2 linked regions of the Neodiprion lecontei genome follow. The protein of the gene in region 1 purifies or fractionates together with the protein of each later gene. This does not show direct contact. Links are inferred from orthologs where the notes say so. Each region holds a gene or a part of one and is shown on either strand. Other genes may lie near its edges.

Region 1 (8,525 bases):
ACTTACTGCTCCACCAAAGTTGAATCCGGAAGGCGCAGGAGTAGCGGAGCCTCCAAAGTTGAAACTAGCATTGGGAGTTAGAGCCACAGAACCAAACGCCGACGTTGATTGACTCTGACCAAAATTAGGAGCAGCCTGAGGAGTGCCAAATATCGATGTGGAAGTAGGCGCAATTAGGGAAAATGGTGGGGCTGCGTCCGGCTTGGGAGTATTGAATACAAAAGTTCCCGCAGTTGTATCCGAGGCGGCAGGTGGATTGAAGTTGGCGGCAGCTCCAAACCCGGTACCGTCAGACTGCTGTGTGTTGGTGCTAGTATTTCCAAATGCGAACAAAGATTTTTGAGCCATCGGTTGCACAGACGCCGGAGTTGGGTTTTGCGAGAAATTGAATCCACTGGAAGCTTGAGACGCGCTAGGTTGAGTAGAACTTCCGCCAAATGCAAACAACCCAGAAGTGGAAGACGGTGCAGTTTCCACTGGTTTCGACGTCCCGAAAATACTCGGTGTCGGATTGGTCCCAAATGCAGGTGTGGACGTTGTTCCGAACGCCGGGGCCGCAGTTCCGAATGCAGGGGTAGAAGAAGAGACTCCAAATGCTGGCGTTGTGGAGTTAAACACTGATGTTGATGCTGTCTTTTTGATACTTCCAAACGCTGGTATCATTTTGTTATTATCCTGAGCAGCTCCAAAAACTGGAGCCTTTGTTTCACCCGCTCCAAAAAGCGGGGCAGGCTTGTTGTCCGTCATGCCAAACGACGGTGCTTGCTTATTTTCGTTACCTTCGAAACGTGGCGCGGAAGTGATAGCATTAAACGCAGGACTGTTGGTCGAGCCAAAAGATACAATTTCAGATTTATCAGGATGTGTCGTGGCGGCTATTGTACTCGCCTGCTTGGTGGATCCAAAAACAAACATTGAAGGCGTCGGCACTGATGTTGGAGCTGATACTGGAATTTGACCAAAACTTTGCACCACTTGACTCGGAACTGTCGTTGGTTGATTTGGAATCGTCGTTGCAGAACCAAACGTGAAGAGTCCGGGCGTCGGGACGCTGGCTGCGGTTGTCGTAACTGTTGACCCACTGCTAAGTGAAACAGGCACATTTATTGTGCCAAATGTGGGATTTTCTGCAGATTTGGTAATATCTGTATTGATGGATAATTTTGTTGTTATTGAACTAGATTGATCATTGGCCAAGATTGCTGCTGGAGCGTCGCTAGTTGGTGCTGAAAAATTTAATTTCTGGGATTCTGTGTTTGAAACAGTTATGTAAACTTCTGGTAATGTGTCTTTTTTGTTAACAGGTGCCTCAGTTTTCACCGCTCCAAAGGAAAATGATTGCTTTGCAGTAGTATTAGCTACTGGTTGTGCTCCAAATGCAAATTGTTTTTCTGCAGATGATTTTGCCTCTTCCGTTTTGGGTATACCAAATGAGAACGGAGCTTGATTCTTCGGTTCTTCGACATTCAATGAACGTTTTTTCGACACATTTTGAACAGCATCAGTTTCCTTAGTGTCCGATTTCTGTTCGAATTTATTTTTCTCATTATCTACAACACCGAACGTGAATCCTGAAGAATTCTGAGGTACACCGAAGGTAAATCCGCCAGCTTTGGGTGAGTCTGTCTTAGCGCCAAAGGTAAAACCTGTCGACGAAGGGACAGGCTTAATCGCGTCAACTTTTTCATCACTTTTGTCAATTCCAAATTTGAAACCTCCAGCATTCTCGGGTACTCCAAAACTGAACTGTACATTTGACCCACTACCTGTGGCTGACGTTGATTTTGCTACCTTCTTTGAACCGGGTCTCACAGCACTACAAGCTACGCATTCGATAACGTCTGCTTTATTCTGTACCATGCAATCGTCACACGTCCAAGCTCCCTCAGGTTTCTTAAACTTGTCACCAAATCCTAACGCCGGTGTACTTGTAGAATCGGATTTCGAAGTACTAAAGCATGGACAGATTAAAGTGGCTCTAGAATTTTTCTGTTTACATTTCAAGCACTCCCATAAATCTTCATTGGTCGACTTTGTTTTCTCCACAGAATCAGTGTTATTGGCCAACTGATTTCCACCGGGATTCGAAATGGTAGTCAACAATTCTGATGTGGCAGGTACTCTTTTAGGGCTGATCTTGAGGGAGCCAGGCTTTGAAGCGTTGCAGCAAGGGCAAGTTTCGACAGATGAATGATTTCGGAGCATACAACCAGGACATTCCCACGATCCTTCAGGAGGTTTAAATTTTTCCATTAAATCGGATTTTACTGATTCAGGAACAATACTGGATGTAGAACCGATAGTCGGAGCCTTAATGCTTTCAGATTTAGACATAGCGCACAACGTGCATTTGACATCACTTTGTTTGTTCGATGTTGCACAATTGGGGCACTCCCAATGGTTGCCGCTCATTTTGAACTGTGATCCGAAACAATCGGTGGTCACAGGCTTGGACTGTGTAACGGTAAGCGTTGACGATTCCGGTGTATGTTCTGTTGTCTTATCACCTTTGCAAAGTAACTTGGAAGCTTTACAACCAATGCACTGAGGCTCGTGTTGGTTGTTCTTCAACAAACACTGGTTACATTCCCACATGCCAACTACAGGTTTGTTGGCATCTGTAAGTAGGTCTGATTTCTTTCCCAAAACATCCATAACGCTGCCTGTTTTTAACTTACTGGACGTTTTGATTCCATCCACAACCACGTCCTCTTTGGGTTTTTCCTTCAATTTCGGGGCTGTCGAGGTCTTGGACCACATGAAATTATTACTAGACGAAAATCTAGCTGGCAAAGTATCAGATTCTGAACTCAATGTTCTCGAAAGTGAATGACCACCCTCTGCGGATTCTTTAACACTGGCATTGATTGGTTTGCTGAAGGTAAAGTTATTGATAGATTTTAAATTCCTAGTCGTGTCCGTCACTTTTATTGGGCTAGAGAACTTGAATAATTCATCTTTCACTCCTTTGGCCATGTTACTGGTGATTACTGGTAGCTTTATATCAAAAGTTGGCAAAGTACTAATAGGCAGTGTGACGCTTGGTAAGTTGACTGCATCGGTCACATAGTCTTGATCCAAGTCGGTTTTACCTTTACTTTTAACCTTGCCCGAGTATTTAGACTTCTCTTCATCGTCCGATCTGCAACACAAAAAATGAAATTAAATAGATTAAAAATTGCTCAATGTACAAAAGAACTCAAACGAAAAGCACTGTTCATTAAAAACTTGTATCAAATCAATCAGAATGTACCTCAATCTGTATTCCTGGGGAGATGGTGGAGGGGCACTGCGAGCCGAAACGATTCTCCTAGCCGCTACTGTGGTGTCTTGTAATCTCTGTCTACGTCTAAGCTTCAGGAGATCTGGCACTGTAGGTACGGTAAGTTCCCTAGTCAAATGACGCAGACCTACCCGAGCCAAGGGAGCACAACCTTCCTCCCTCTGCCGTTTCTTGCCACCGATCAGAGACGAGCTATTGTTTGCATTCATGGGAATTTTTTTAGCATCCAATATGGGGGATGAAAAATGCTCCAGTGCTTCCAATATCCTTTTAGCAGTTTGACTCATGGCTGATGAATCGGTACCAGTTACATTTGGTGACTTTACTTGAATGTTGGTTCGGTTTGGTACTTTCAATTGAAGTTCATTTGTACTATTGAACAACGTACGTCCTCGGCGTTGGAATCCTGCCATGTTGGCTCCTCCAAACGTGGTATTGCCGTTGTAAAACGGAGACGAGGACTGTCCTCGTTCAAGAGAATTATTCATTATTGACACATTGAAGCTCGGCTTCCGACTGCTCAACGAATCCCTAGGATTGCTATCCAAAAAGAGGGACCGTGGGGACTGTAGGTGATTTGCTGCAAACACAGAAACCGAAGACATGAAAACCTGAAATAAAAGATATGTAGGCAAAGTTTCGTGCTTTAACCAAATTTTTAGAGTGATCAAGAGCCCATTGGTCCACTATTGAAAATAAATCAATGCCCGATTACTTCTTGAATAAACATATAATCGACAATTACTCAAATTTTCAGACTTACTATAGTTTAGTTTATCTTCATTGTATCTCTTTCTGCTTGTTGACGATCTGTTGTACCCCAGACTTGAGGGTGCTTCTTGCCTGTTGACTTGTGGTATGAGAGAGCTGCATCCGCTTGTGCTCTCACTGGACTCTGAATTATCGTCTGTTCCATTAGCCGTACCGTTATTTTGTGGCGATGTTAACGAAATGAACTTTGTCCTGTTCCTTTGATTGCTCATACTGCCAATTTCTGATTGGATTGCAGGCGTCGACGCCACTAGACGACGAACCCCACTAGTTCCAGCTACTGAAGGTTCTAGGAAATCGGTTGTCTGAAAATTCGTAAATATAATTAATAAAGAATATTTATAGATAACAAATAATGGTTTGAGTAAAGGAACAAAATGAACATTTAAATAATTACAGTTTCATTGTGGATAATGTAATCTTCTTTTCGAGGGTCGACCTCCTCATTATCTGGAATTCTACTTCTTGGCTGTATATTGAATGTTCCGGGGGGGTGAGTTACATCCATACGAATCCGTGGCCGCTTTGAAGGCGGAGGTTGCTGTGACTCCTGCTCATTCTCAGAGCCCTCGAGGTTCTCCTCATCATTTAACATTTCGCCATTATCTTGCGACGAATTAAACCATTTGCTTATCCACGATCTCTGCGGTATCAGATCTGTGACTTTCGTAGCGACTTTTTTCACGAAAGACTGGTAATAAAAAATATCAATTAGCATTATTCAAGGGAGTTTATAAAAATATCAGGTTTTTTGGGAAAAATCATTTAGACTGCAAGATTAACTGAGGCTCATATTTTAAGCTTAGATTTGTTCAAAGACTAGCTGAAGGCTGAAGTAACTCTAGATACTATAAATATTAAGTGAAAGTAAAACGAGAATTTCAATCGCATTTCGACATAGGAAGTAATATATAACTAAAAATTGAATGTTTATCTTGACAGACATAAATAGCTTGTGGTTGATATATCGGATATACAAGACAGTGTAAATTGTTGCAATGTGCCAAATTGCATGTACTATAATGTGTGATAATAATTCAAGCTAGAACTAGCCAACAGAGATATTGAGAATATCGGATTTCGAGAGTTAGAGGAACAAATTCCATTAATTATGTAATTTATAGATAATATTGACGTAACGAGCTCGACGGCTTTATGCACGGTAAAAATTATTGTTATTAGATACAAGAATCGGTGTAAGAAATTGAACAATTGTCCAAGAACCCATGCAGCATTTCAAGGTTAGAACGTTTTGAATGACGATAAATTCCGCCGTGGGTGTGCGCCTATCGAGTTTGAGGTTATTTGATGCGGGTAAAACTTTGTCAAGTATAATATTTGATCGAATTTGATTGCCGGGGATTGGGAAGGATATCGCAATCGGTTCGATCGTTACTCGGAGCACGTTTTAAAATCATGTCTATTTTGGGAAACGCGCGAAGGACCGTTGGAAGGCAACTTTTGTCGCGGGAGGCCAGTGGCCGAGACCTCGGAACGAGTTTCTACTCACGTTGTTTGCGTCGTAGGGCTTGGCGTTCCTCGAACGTTTGTTGTTCAAACTGTTACCTCCTTTTGCCATGATCGCACCATTTACTTGTTTATTATTACACACTCACATTAATTTAGATTACTGCATATCAAACTGACACCTCACATCGTCCAACTTTCACGACGAAACCACGAGAAAATATGGCGGTTCCTCCACCACCGTGAGGGGTCAAGCTTCCCGTTGGCTCGTGGACACGTGACACCGCGGATCGACTCTCGCCGCCTCGACTATCGATATTGCCGATAACTAGACGATAGAGCGAGTTTTAACCACATGGGTCTTACATACTTTGGCAACTTCGGTGGTGGGGGTATGTGCTCTTATTGAAGCACCGATCGTTTCGCCTAGTGACCACGAGTGTCGCTGCGATAGAGGGATGCAGCACGGGATGCAGGATATGTGGTTTAACCTGTTTCTATCTCTCTCACACAGCCTGCATCCTTTATCGCAGCGACACTCGTGGTCACTAGGCGAAGCGATCAGTGCTTCAATAAGAGGATACCCTCACCACTGAAATTTCGACCGAGTTGCCAGACCTGTATATAAGACCGTGGTTTTAACACCGATGTATTAGGGAATTTCGAAAAATATTATTTACGATTTTCCACCATGGCACCCTCTAAAACGTTCGTTTAGGTTAAAAGAAAGGTTCTGTCCAAATATGCATGTTCTACGTTATGAGGAAGATGACGCTCAGTCCATTTTTTACTTTTATAAATTTTTTTAAAAATTCTGATCTATCACGAATAAAATTTACTTCTTTTATCATTGCTTACATCAATCGTAATATCAACTAGATGTAAAACCCTCGCTCGCCACGCTCACTCACTCGATTCGATAAGCTTTACTGTTAGCGGTTTACCATATATGCGTAAAATTTTTAAATTTAACCGACTACGTGATAACTCGTATACATCGTAATGTACTTATATAGTATACATGATAGTCTACCTGGTGAATTCCGACGTCCACATAATGACGATCAGCAAACTACTTAAACTTTTGTGATATAACGCGTAGCAAGTTTCTCTCAAACTGCATAAAATAATATTTTGTTTGTCGCTGTGTGAAATGCGCCATTTTTACGCTTGGAAAAATCGCACCAGGTCAAAGTCACATCTCCACTATGTTTACAACGTGCCATTCGTCTGTCTGTGTACTATATTAGCAACTGACCGATAGATGCGTTTTCGCTAGTTTCCATTTTTTTTTTTTTTTTGTTATTGTTCCTGAATTTTTCTATTGTTTCCTGAAACGTAAATACATTTTACTTTGTTAGTCAAATACACTCACTGAATAACATTTTAGACAATAAATTAAACTCGCTAAATAAACGTTCCCGCAATCTTGCCGTATACGTACGTACTGCTCCACGGCTGTTTGGATATCAACTAATTGTAAGACCATCGCCGGCAATTTCGAATGAATATGAGTTATAATGGACAGACGAACTAATTATAAATTATATATCTCATGTATGTACAAGGATTACTAATTACTATTTCATTTATGTACTACACACCAACATGTATACATCGCTAACATACTTTCTCTATCCTTTCTAAAAAAATAGGATTTCTGAAGGGACGTAATATTTTCAAAATCTCCAACGTCGTAAGCTTCAACTACAAAAATATTGTTACAAGACTTATTGAGGAACACATTAATTATTATACATTACTTACCATGTATCATACATACTGCGAGTTATTGTATTATCGAATTTTTGGCAGATACAACCTTACGGAATTAGCCGATGTAGGATTTCATAATTGAATCAGTATCAATAGAAAACTGTATCTACCAGGTGATCCTACAGCTGAGCGCGAGTGATGAAAGTCAAGATCCAGCAGGTAAAGAACCTGGAGCACAGGAACTACATAGCGCTAGTCCTGGAAGTCAAGTTTCACTAGGTAAAAGATTTGAACAGCCGAAACTACGGAGCGGTCGTCCTGGAAGTCAAATTTCACCGGATCAAGGACCTCTAGACCTGGAAGTCAAGTTTCACTAGGTACAGGATCTGTAAACCTCATAAAATAGTTATAATTTAATATTATGAACTTTTGATTTAGAAGAATAAGATTCCCGGTTGATATATCGTTGTGTTATGGATCGTGATCTTTGAGTTGAATATAAGTTTTAGGAAAGAAATAAGAATCGAAGTCCTACGACGTGATTCTTCACAAATTCAAAAAAAATAAATTGAAAAAAACATGAAAAATCAAATGAGCACGATCTTCCACATAACGTAGATCCCTCATATTTTCCCAAAATCTTTCTTTTAAACTTTCAATTCAAATACACGTACACCAGTTAAACCGAAAACTGCATTCGAGGACCTACAGTTTACTGAACAGAATACCGAATCTCGAGATATACCGCAACGATTGCACGGAACACATATGCACTTGCTAATCTTACAATTAATTTTTTGCAACACCTGCGTGGAAAGTCCATTTTTATGCACCATTTACAAGCACCGAAAGTAGTCTTTTATACACATGTGCGGGAAAAACTTTCGCGCATTACTAGGGGTGTGAGAAAAAAACCTTCGCACATTGCCGGCGGTATAAGATGAACCTTCGCACATTGCTAGCGGTGTGCGAAAAAGACCGTCGCGCTTTTATCCACAGTTGCGTATTTCGCAAACAGCTCCACTAGCCCTACCGATGGAATAGTTTGTCACTCTTTGCCGTGCTCGACATCGCTGCATCGTCACTAAACAGACATCGTGCCGTGGTTTCGTGTAAAAATAATCGTGTATGTCGGACTTTCCATTACAGGTGTAGCAAAAAATAGAGTTCGATACACGTGCGAAAGTTGGCAATGCCTATCTCGCGTGAATGCGCCACACTCGCCCTTCAACTCGTCTCCAGGCTCGTGCTGCGCCTTCATGCTTGTGCGGGCATTGCCACCTTCGCG
Region 2 (10,676 bases), on another chromosome or scaffold:
GGTCTTTTCCTTATTCAAGGAAAAATAATAGTATTCTGTAGTTTTCATTACATCACTTTCCATAGGACATAATCTGAGCATTGACTGAAGATATACATATCTCTAGTCAACGATCTGAGTAATGCATCGATATTCAAATTCTGGTACAAATGTTAATCATACATTGATTAACACACTCTATCAATTGAAATTTTTTTTCTCAAAATGGGCAATTAGATAAGTACTATTTTTCTTCTTCCAGAACGCTCTTTGATGGTGACAACGACTTTATGATTTGTTTGAAGGAGTCTTTTCCGCAGCTAAAAACACGAAAGTTGACACGCGTAGAATGGTGTAAAATACGAAGAATGATGGGAAAGCCAAGACGGTGCTCCCAATCATTTTTTGAAGAGGAAAGACGAGAGTTAGAGAGGAAGAGACAAAAAATTCGTATGCTCCAGCAGAGAAAAACGGCCGATATAAGTAGCTTTAAGGACCTGCCTCCTGAAATTCCTTTACAACTTGTTATTGGAACGAAAGTTACAGCAAGATTACGAAAGCCACAAGATGGCCTTTTCACTGGTAGTATCGATGCAGTCGATACCAGCAACAACACCTACAGAATTACCTTTGAAAGAGCGGGTCTTGGAACTCACAGTGTGCCTGATTTTGAAGTTCTGGTAATTGAATAATTGAGCCATATTCACTGTTTAGTGCCTGTTGATCATCTTCATTTGACTTATTTCAATAACCTTTATTTGTTTTCAGTCAAACGAACCACCAGAAACCATTAGTGTAGCTTCGTTCGCGCAAAAGTTTAGACCTCGGATGGTGCAATATGTGCCATCACCTCCCTATGCAATGAAATTAATGTCACCCAGATTAAATAATGACCCTTTAATATCCAACGCCTCCGTATCACTCCCAAAAAAATCGCATATCGGTGGTACGATGAATGGCTATCCCTTAAAACTGTTAGAGTTTATGGTAAAAGTTGACAAAATATTAGCGGCAAAGAAAATCAAGATAAAGAAACTGAAGGAAATGAACAGTGAGGCGGAAAAGAGACGGTCTTTCGGTGAGCCTTTGCCAGCTGACTTTGAGAGAAAATATGCAGGGTAAGAATTTTGCTTAGTAATGTATTGAATAGAAACAACGAACGGATTAAAAATAAAATTTCTTTGTGATTACAGGATAGTAGTTGAACTTGAAAAGATGAATGTAGCGCTTCAAGATTTCTTGAACGACGTACAAGAGTTATGTCAAGAAATGGCTCCGGAACCAAGCGTTGCTGCTATGCTGGCTCCTTCTCATTTGCGGGAAAAGTGCCATCAAGAAGCGGCCGATATGGTTGCTAGAAATGATGTCATTAACGATAGGGCACCAGCAAAGATGAGCGAACTTGTCACAGACCTCACTGCTCTCATGCTTCAAGTAAAGGTAAATCTTGTTCCTAGTTTTACTCCACTTTTCACAACAAAATCTTCCTCAAATTCTCCCAATACGTAGAATTCCAGCAAAGAAATGCAGATTTCTTTCCAAAAGTCATAATATCCAATTCTTTTCACAGAGCTTGTCGGATTCTGATCGAAATGCCTATGAATTGAAAGTACTTCAAGGAACCATGGAGCAAATTAGATCGAAACTGAGTCCTCAAAATCAACAAGTGTTTCAAAACTGCGTTGAAATTCATATGCAGCATATTCAACTTGGTTTGGGAAAAATAGGGGCTTTAACGCCATTTATGTCTCAAAAAGTTTAGTATTAACTTTGTTGAATCATCATACTCTTAATGAATGGCAGGCAGTAATTTTCAGACGCGTGCAAGAGTATTCTGTAATCTAATGAGAATTTATTCGAGGAAAATAATAGTTGTACTACACTTGCACGCTTCTACTTACTGTAATGATTTGATGTGCGCCTGTCGTCACTGTTCAACTAAAAGTTGATTCACGCTATCCAGCATGGACCAGTACGACCTGGAACGAACATTTATCGGAATTTCCACGGCATTCCTACGGAACAAGCACCCACTAAGCAGCAGTTAATCACAGGAGGATCAATGGCCAAATCTCTAAGCGTCAGCGATTTGGCTGTTATGGAATTACTTCTTGACGAGAACATGTAGTGAAAGCTAAAATATGTCTACGAATATAGGTGCAATGAATATTTAATACAAAATCAAGAAACGACACACATTGGATACGTTTGATTTAAACAATTGATGAAGTACGAAGAAAATTTTTATTAATAGATAGTTTTGTTACAGCCCGTGTTGTATGATGTGAATCAATCTTTACTATCCAATTGTATAGACTCCTTCATCGTTCATCAGGCATACTCATAGTTCATACATTATATCTACATTTTGTTTTTTGTTTTATAAAAAGACAAGAAGTACGAGGAATTGCAGTTAGAAATGGTAATGAATTTTGAACTAACGTGGTGTAAGCATTGTCTACACCTTACACGGAATGATTCTTCTGATCTTTCTGCAATAATCAATATTTTCTTGACATTATCAGCAAAAATTTTTACTCAAGTCATTTACTTTGAATTAAATGTCTACATAATATATCTAGTATCTTATTGTGTACTTTATAGAGGTGTAAAGTGGTGTGATAAATGCAATGGCAAACATTGTTGCCCGTTGCAAAATTTTGTATGCATCACTTCGGTAAAAATAGAAAAGATCTTTTTTTTTTTTCGTCCGTATTTCTGCACCACTGCTAACGTTCAATTACACAGTTAATACTTGCGTTGAAAATAATTATGTATTTACTTACAATTACAAATATATATCTTAGGATTAAAACATTTAGTAATAATATTAAATAGTAAAAGAAAAATATTATGAAAAAATTGTAACTAGAAGAATGTTGTGTTGAATACTTGAGACGATTGAAAATATTTAATTACTATTATACACGTTCATACCCTAATAATAAATGGAGAAATTAATATTTTACGGAAATTAAAAGGTATGAGGAAATGTAGAATATTACGAGTTGCATATATTATACAGGCGCTATAAATTGTATCTAAAATAATAGATGAAACATAATTTGAGATGGAGACGTTCTAAACAGATTTATATATCCCTGAATTGTTGCTTTTTGAGGGAAAGGATACTCAATGTAATTCAACTACATGTAGCGGTATAATTTCAGATGCTTTATTTATATACAGTTAATTATTTAACATGGGGATTATGTAACAGTGTACTTTTATTCGTATCAAAGTATCGTGGAAACTCACTATAATTCATTTTATTCCCGTAATATTTATTTCAACACAAGTAAAAAGTAAAATTTTACGGAATAAAGGCTAATAATAAATTCACAGCAACGCGCATCTAAGACTTTAATACAAAAAAGTTGACCTAAAGTATTTTGAATATCCGATGTATTACTGGTCAATGATGAGAGTTTATTCGTTTCAATTTTTGTTCAACTGACGGTCGCGTATCATCGTTGGTTACTCATCTGTCTGAAAGAGTTAATTATATTTTCGATTAGTACTAACAGATACAGACGTTGTAATGTTCGGTCACATGCATTACTAGATCCATTTGCATTTACGTTAACACGTCATCACCCACGATACGACACTATTGTCGATAATAGAGCATAGAATCCATTTTACATAGATTCATTTTCTGTCTCTGATAACTTAAGTAAGTTACTATTTCTTATCGCCACTTAAAAAAATTTCTTATCTACAGTAACAATTTGGAGGAAGTGTCGGTAAAATTTTTTTTGCAGTATTTATAATACCAAGACTAAACGATCTCATATATAAAAGTGGCTTTTATTCTTTCTAAAATCAAATGAGGTGAACAGGGAGTATTCCTGTAATGAGTTTAGCAGAAACCACTTATTTGTGTATAACTCATCAACATATAAACGCGTCCGAGTTCAATTTGTTCCGAATGCGTATTCGCGTGATTTATTTGAAGCTTGAATTCGTTTGTTGCAATATTCCAATTATTGATCACGATTGTGATCATTGTGTAAATGTAAAACTGACGAGACTGTATTCTACTTGCGTATTATTATCTATATCAATAGTACTAAGCTGTAAATGTCGTACATTAACATTTATATAGCATCTTTAGTTTCTGATAAGAAACATGTACACATTCACGATTGTTTTGCTTTCATTCAAGAATTGACATCTGCCATAATGACTTATGGATTGATATCCGTTGAACAATGGTCGGTGGGCATGATTAAAAAAATCATTTCTTGTGCTTATTAAGCTTTTCTAACAACGCATCGGCGTCCTCGCTTGTCTTAACTCTTAACAAAACTGGTGTCGGTGGTGGTTTGGAATCTGGTGTTGGAAGAAGAACCATCATAACGTTATTCTTTCCCATACGCTGCATTGGTATGCCCTCGGTTAATATTGTATTCAAGAGTAAATTTCCGCACGAAGTATCGGCACGCACTATTAGCTGTGTTTTGTCGTTGGGTGTAGGCTTCAGAAACAGGGTACCTACTCCTCGATCAGCAAAATTTCCATCTTTTTTGACAAATACCTTGCATCTGCGAAAAGCAATTTATATCCCATAAATTTCATCTGCCATTGAATATCGTGCTAGTGTAGTGAACAAATATTCACTAGAACATAGTACGTAACAAACATATTTAGGTAAATTTCATATAAAACAGATAAATAAGAATCGCATGTTCCTTTCAACTGTCTTACCGTTGTTCATAAATTGCATCGTCTTCCGTGATTGGTTTGAAGTCTGGTTTCGGTGGTTCGTCATCATCATCTTTTTCTTCATCTTCTTTAGTCTCTTCTGCTTCTGTAGTTTTAGCCACATTGCCAAAAGAAAATGGTTTTCCACTGTAAGGAGATATATAGATACAATTACAAAAAGAAGGCTGATAATGTTTCAATATTTCGTGAATATATGGGTAGAAAAACATGAAAACGGAATATGAAACTCATCGTAACAACCAATAAAAAATTTACTCCCGGAAAGAGGACGTACCCTCCGAAACTGAATCCTGCCGAAGCTGTACTGGTTGCTGAACTTTGGCCAAAGCTGAATGTGGCTGTGGGACCAGATGGTGGACACGAAAGACTTGCTGTTGGTTTCTGATCAGTAATGTCAGATTCGGTTTCCTTTTTCTTATCTTCTACAGCTGTAAATGATGTACTTAAAAATGGATTCCGTTCAGTGGAAACACTGCCAAAAACGCTTTTGACTTCCGAGGTAGTTTCAGTATTCCCGAATAACGATTTTCCAACATTCACATTCTTGAAAATCGATGATTCGCTTTTCGACTCTGCATTTCCCACTGATGGATTACTAAAGACCGACTTCTTAGTCTGTGATTCAGTCTTTCCAGTTTCCAAATTCGACTTACTCTTAACGGGTGAACTTTCCAAGTTAGATTTTTCCCCAGTCTTTTCTGGGCTCAAAATTGTCGGGGTGGTTTCCTGTCCGTGTTTAGCTTCAATTTCTTTAAGATGCTTGTCATAATCTTTAAATATTGGGGTTAAAATACAAAACGGATTTGAATCTACGTGTGACTTGATCCATTGAGTGACGCTTTCGTTAAGTCCCTTCAATTTTGCATAATAATCTGTTGATTTTTTGAAAATCTTCCCATCTTCCTTTCCAGTTGGAAAATGCTTAGCATCCGAATTTTTCGACATTGATTCCTGTTTCAACGAAGAAGAATCTTTGCTTTCTGGCCCATTCGCTGCTGGGTTAACCGATCCATTGCTCGAACCTACTTTATTAGCTACCGTTTTTTCACTACTCTTCGTATTTGTTGCATTACTAGTATTTGCAAGGAAGCTAAAGGGTGAAGAACCGGCAGGTGCAGCAGTTTTGAAAGCAGTAAACGCGCCAAACGCTGCTTTTGGTGCATCCTGAAACAGTTTGAAATATTACGAGATACAATCAACTTCGGACAACAAAAAAGCAATGCGCTTTGGTGCTAGGGATCTTTGTATTTTTCAGCAATGTTTCCAAACTTACATCCCCTCCGCTGTTGACTATTCGCCGTCTGGCCGATTTGATGACTCTTCTCTGCAAATCTTCTTTCGATGCTTTGCTAAACGTTCCTGCCTCTTCCCGAGTTTCTTCATCGTTCCAATTATCGTGATTCAGCTCTGAGGTAGCAGTTCGTTTGCCAGCCATCACTGAGCGGTCTAAAATCAGAATGATTTTTTCAGTTTTAATTTCAGACAGGCTGTGGTAATCGATTTGCATTTAATCAACAAATTATCAGAGCAATATTTCAATTCCCGAGGATAGAAGGACTATCGTGTCGTAAGAATTTAGGTATTAATCCAGTTAGGCGCTTATCTCTTACGAAACATTTAGCAATTGCGATAAGCATTAGGATTTTGAAATTGTCGAAGAGCGAATATGCGATCTGAATATAACAGCGGGTTTACGGTGAAGTTGACATGGCAATGCAAGTACATAGTAACAGTCGATTCAATACTGTTTCGAGGTTATGAAAAGGATTCGGTCGAAATAGAATTGGATCAATTTCGGCCGTTACCCGCTTAAACAGTTTCAACATAACGCCATTCAATGTGATTTCCGTAACAAATAAAAACCAGCAGTCGATCGATATGAAATTGGAGTGCGAGTAAAAAAAAAGTACACATTTATAGGTTAACCGCCACTCGATCGGGAGTATATTCGAAAGTGGCAATTGTCAATTCATTGCAACGATACAGCGTCGAGAATCGCTAGCGTACCTGAGTTTTGATAAACGGTATGCAATCTGTCGATGAAAAGTCCACGTTAACCGCGTTAGTGTCTATTTGTACGATAATATCTCGCGAAACATGAGTGATAAATCGCAAGTAAATGTTCCGCGCTAAACTGGCGCGTTAGACTTTTTGCCTTTTGATGAAAAAAAAATGTCAACTCGGGGCCGGCTGGGCTGGCCGGCAATCGTAGTTGGTCGTGTAGTGTCTGTGAAGGGCCGAAGGGGGGATGAAAATTCGGGAGTTGTGGACCAGGCCGTTGTCACGACGAGGGCGCCACGATCATTCGGCAGGCATCAACCACACACCCCTGCGCGCTCTTATTATTGGGAAAACATCTGCCGCTGCGTCGGAAAATCTCTTTTAAATGGCCGAGATTTAATTGAAACTGAGTTGAAATATCGTGTAACACAACGGGGGTAGGTTGTCCGATAAACAAGCTAAATGTTTACACCGGTAGACCGGTCGGTATTTTCCCAAATTAACCGCAACTTAGATGGAAAATAGCTTTGGCAATACCGAAAGGGGGGTTAACGCAAGTTGCTCGGTGTGTCGTGTGTCTGTCGTCGTCGTTGTGCCCGCGTCGGTGAAAACCTACACACGGCCCCGTCAAATATCCGACTTGTGCGGATGGTCAATTGTTTGTGGTGGTGGGTGAATCGGGCAAGTGCCGTGGTGCGCGCCGTGCCGAGGAGCCGAGAGGAGAGAGATATTGCTTCGCTCTATTTTGTGAATAATTATATCTGTTGAGAGAAAATTCAACTCAACTGGTGTCGTCGTTGAAACGCGGTGCCGATAACGAAGCGAATTCGTCAACTTCGGAATAACTCGAGTCCAACTTCCAGGCCCGACTATGGAGATATCGAAAAGTTTGCAGGATGAGATACACTCCGTGCAAAACAAGCTCAAATACGCCATACAAAATCATCAGGCAAGTAATTTCCTCCTCGTTGTTTGTCCGTCGACGGACTTTTAATACCTGCATCGTACAACCTGACGCGCGTTTCTTGTGCAGTTACATGTACCGTACACGCATGTATCACCGTAGGCTTCCTGCATCATTTACACACTGTTACACTCTCGGAGCGCAGCGACGACGAGGGGAAAGGGGGCTTAGAGATGATGCTAAAACTTTCGACGAGTGCGATCAAGCCGTGCAGCGCGATTGACTTTTTCGATCCCAATTAATTTTCCGATCACATTCACGCGGTTGTCGGATTTAAGAGGAGAATTTACCCAAGGAAAAATCAGCGCGATAGAGATACAAGTTGTTCGATATCGACGTAACTTGTGCGCCTAATTTCGCGTGCAGTTTAACCGCTGCAATTATACCGCAACATCGCTATAAATTTTGTCGGATATATCGAGCCAAACCAACGATAAGTCTACGTCTCCACGCACAGTTTTTCAGGTGCGACGTATAAAATAGCGTGTATTTCTCGCTATCGTCGGTGTGTTTTTTTTTTATCGTCAGTTTGATACTTCAATTAACCAAGGTCGCCGCTGTGGCCGTATATTGTCGACGCGTCGTTACGTTTTGTATGATTTACGATACAGGCATAGTTATTTCCACGTCTTATTTCGACGATCTCTGTCACATCTCCGCGTCGTTACGTTTGCATTTCACGTGATAATTCGTCGATCTTCACCCGCAGCTGCAACATCGTTACCCACAAATCGCACACAACGTGTCCGCTTTCTTTCTTTCATCGTCAAATTGACAAATAATATAAGTTTCGGTATTAGTTATTGTTGCGCGAGTATCAAACTACTCGAGTAGTATTAAACTTACTCCGTTGCTCGTGTCGTGTTCTTCTTTACCAATTGAAAGCAGCGCGCAACATGTCGCGCGCGACTTTTTCACCCGCACAAGAGTTAAAAATCTTACCTAAGAAGTCACGCGAGGTAACCTCGCGTAACATAAAAACTTTCCGCCACTTTTTTACTTCCGCTTTTCGCTTCGCATTATTTCCCAAGTTTACACGTTACAACTTTAAACCGCTGTGAAACTTTTATTATCATCCCCCTCCCCCCCCCCCCATCGTTATAAATATACACACGCTGTTGCGTGTACTGCATGTAGTAGTTTTCAATCGACGGAAAATTCTCCCGCGTTATCTTCGTAAGAATTAACGTCTCACTTAGCATCGTTGAATATTCGAGCAACGTATCGTATGTACAACCAAATCTTATGCCTTGGTTTGTACGTATATGCGTACTGCGTGCAAGTATGTCTCTGCGACACGGTAAACGATATTTCCGTTTCGCAGCGCAACGATAAAAGAATAATACCAAGAAGAATAAGCAGATCTCCGGTTCTTTCTTTTTTTTTTTTTACAGATATATGCGTATTGTTTTGTCTCGCACACACGATACGTGGGATAAAATTTCCACAGTTACTACATTGCTTCGACTATAATAATCATCGATTATGGATCAATTCTGTTTCAATAGTTAAATTGTTGTACGAAATAGACCGATCAATTATTCTCACGACGCGTAAGCTATTTTTTTTTTTTTCCCCCTATCTTTTACTTTTAAAACACCACAACAAACAAACCATATGCGCTTATACACGAGTTTTTGGTGCACACATTCGTCAAGACGATAACGCAGAGCTGCAATGGCGGCAGCGTCTCGTATTTATAAATACGTATGGATAGATTTTCCGAAAATATTAATATCCCCTAATTTTAAGTGCGAATGATCCTCTCCACGTGCGTGAGGCAAAAAATACGATAAAAAAACGACAGAAAAAATTAAGATTAAGAATTCGAATGAAATTATAAGGAGAATCGTGCACGCAGATATCAGGCGCAAGTCGTAATGTCACGTAGGCTTGTTAAACCCGCCTCTGCGTCTATAAGCAGCGGTAAATCCGTGTATGCAATTGTATAGTATGTGTGAAATGTACGCCATTGTATGCGCGATGTGCAGCGGACACTGTTTACGTAACTCAAGTGTAAATTGATAGATTATACTTACATCGGTTTACCCTTTTTTTTTTTTGGTTTTTTTTTTCTAATTTTATAACGTTATACAGTGGCCAGAAATACTACATTGAATTAACTTTCTTTGGTTTGCTTATTTGTTGCTGGTTCAATTTAACGGAAGAAATACCCTCAAGTTGTATCTCTAACAATGCTTAATATTTAATCGTCGTAACAACATTGGAGGTATCACAATATACGACTAATTGGGAAATAATTGTGATCAAGGAATGTTGAAGAAAATAATCAAATTCATGTGATTTTTACGGTTATAGTAAGGAACTCATTGAGCATTGAGATCCATGGAATACATTTCCAACACGATACAAGTATAATTTGGTAATTGAGAAAATTTGTGTACACAATATGGCTTGGTTAAAATTGTTTATAGTTGTATATTTTACTTTCATTCTAAATTGCGTATTTTCATTATTTATTTTCGTCTATGCGTAATTGAACCCTAAATCGTTATTCTACCATTCTTAAGCTGCTGTATTTTTGATCCAGACTGTACGCGTGAAACATCCTTGAAATTAGTCATGTTTCCATAACTAGTAATATCTTATCAGGGTTTATTTGGTTTCCAGGATGAGTAATCCATAACTGTTCGTAATACAAAGGACATTTAATTTGTTGTTGGTATAGCGAAGTAAGTTGAAACGATTGTAAAATATATATATATATATATATATATATATATATATTTGAATATTAAATTATTTTTCTCTTTATTCTCGCAGGTGTACGTGGGGAAGCTCAACGACGACCCAAACGTAAGTTGGATAAAAAATATACGACGATCATTCAATTCGATAATTGCTAATTCCTCCAGGATTCAATTCTTACACCGATCCTCAATTAATCGGCCCTAACAATAAGGCGTAGTGGTTTAATTGGGGGTTGAATTGATCTGCAAAGTAATTCGCACGATTCAACGATTCAACGATTCAAGAGTATTTT

Evidence for each region.
Region 2: the proteins of nuclear pore complex protein Nup153 (region 1) and nuclear pore complex protein Nup50 purify together in Homo sapiens (affinity purification with mass spectrometry; 8 studies listed by BioGRID and IntAct, counting the BioPlex papers as one, with this or other methods). This does not show direct contact. The link is inferred for Neodiprion lecontei from reciprocal best matches to the Homo sapiens genes NUP153 and NUP50.

Annotation. Positions count from the first base shown.
Region 1 is NC_060261.1:2,218,368-2,226,892, forward strand, and holds the start of nuclear pore complex protein Nup153, read right to left. Parts: upstream 5,800-8,525; 5' UTR 5,634-5,799; coding exon 5,565-5,633; intron 4,746-5,564; coding exon 4,452-4,745; intron 4,360-4,451; coding exon 4,047-4,359; intron 3,864-4,046; coding exon 3,254-3,863; intron 3,143-3,253; coding exon 7-3,142; intron 1-6. UniProt on the Homo sapiens protein: Component of the nuclear pore complex (NPC), a complex required for the trafficking across the nuclear envelope. Functions as a scaffolding element in the nuclear phase of the NPC essential for normal nucleocytoplasmic transport of proteins and mRNAs.
Region 2 is NC_060265.1:9,404,158-9,414,833, reverse strand, and holds nuclear pore complex protein Nup50, read right to left. Parts: upstream 6,945-10,676; 5' UTR 6,715-6,944; intron 6,154-6,714; 5' UTR 6,143-6,153; coding exon 5,981-6,142; intron 5,872-5,980; coding exon 4,982-5,871; intron 4,834-4,981; coding exon 4,690-4,833; intron 4,527-4,689; coding exon 4,220-4,526; 3' UTR 3,139-4,219; downstream 1-3,138. Other genes in the region: protein lin-9 homolog, read left to right, coding at 242-659, 748-1,097, 1,173-1,419, 1,550-1,735, 1,943-2,107; uncharacterized protein LOC107217553, read left to right, coding at 7,580-7,657, 10,457-10,489. UniProt on the Homo sapiens protein: Component of the nuclear pore complex that has a direct role in nuclear protein import. Actively displaces NLSs from importin-alpha, and facilitates disassembly of the importin-alpha:beta-cargo complex and importin recycling.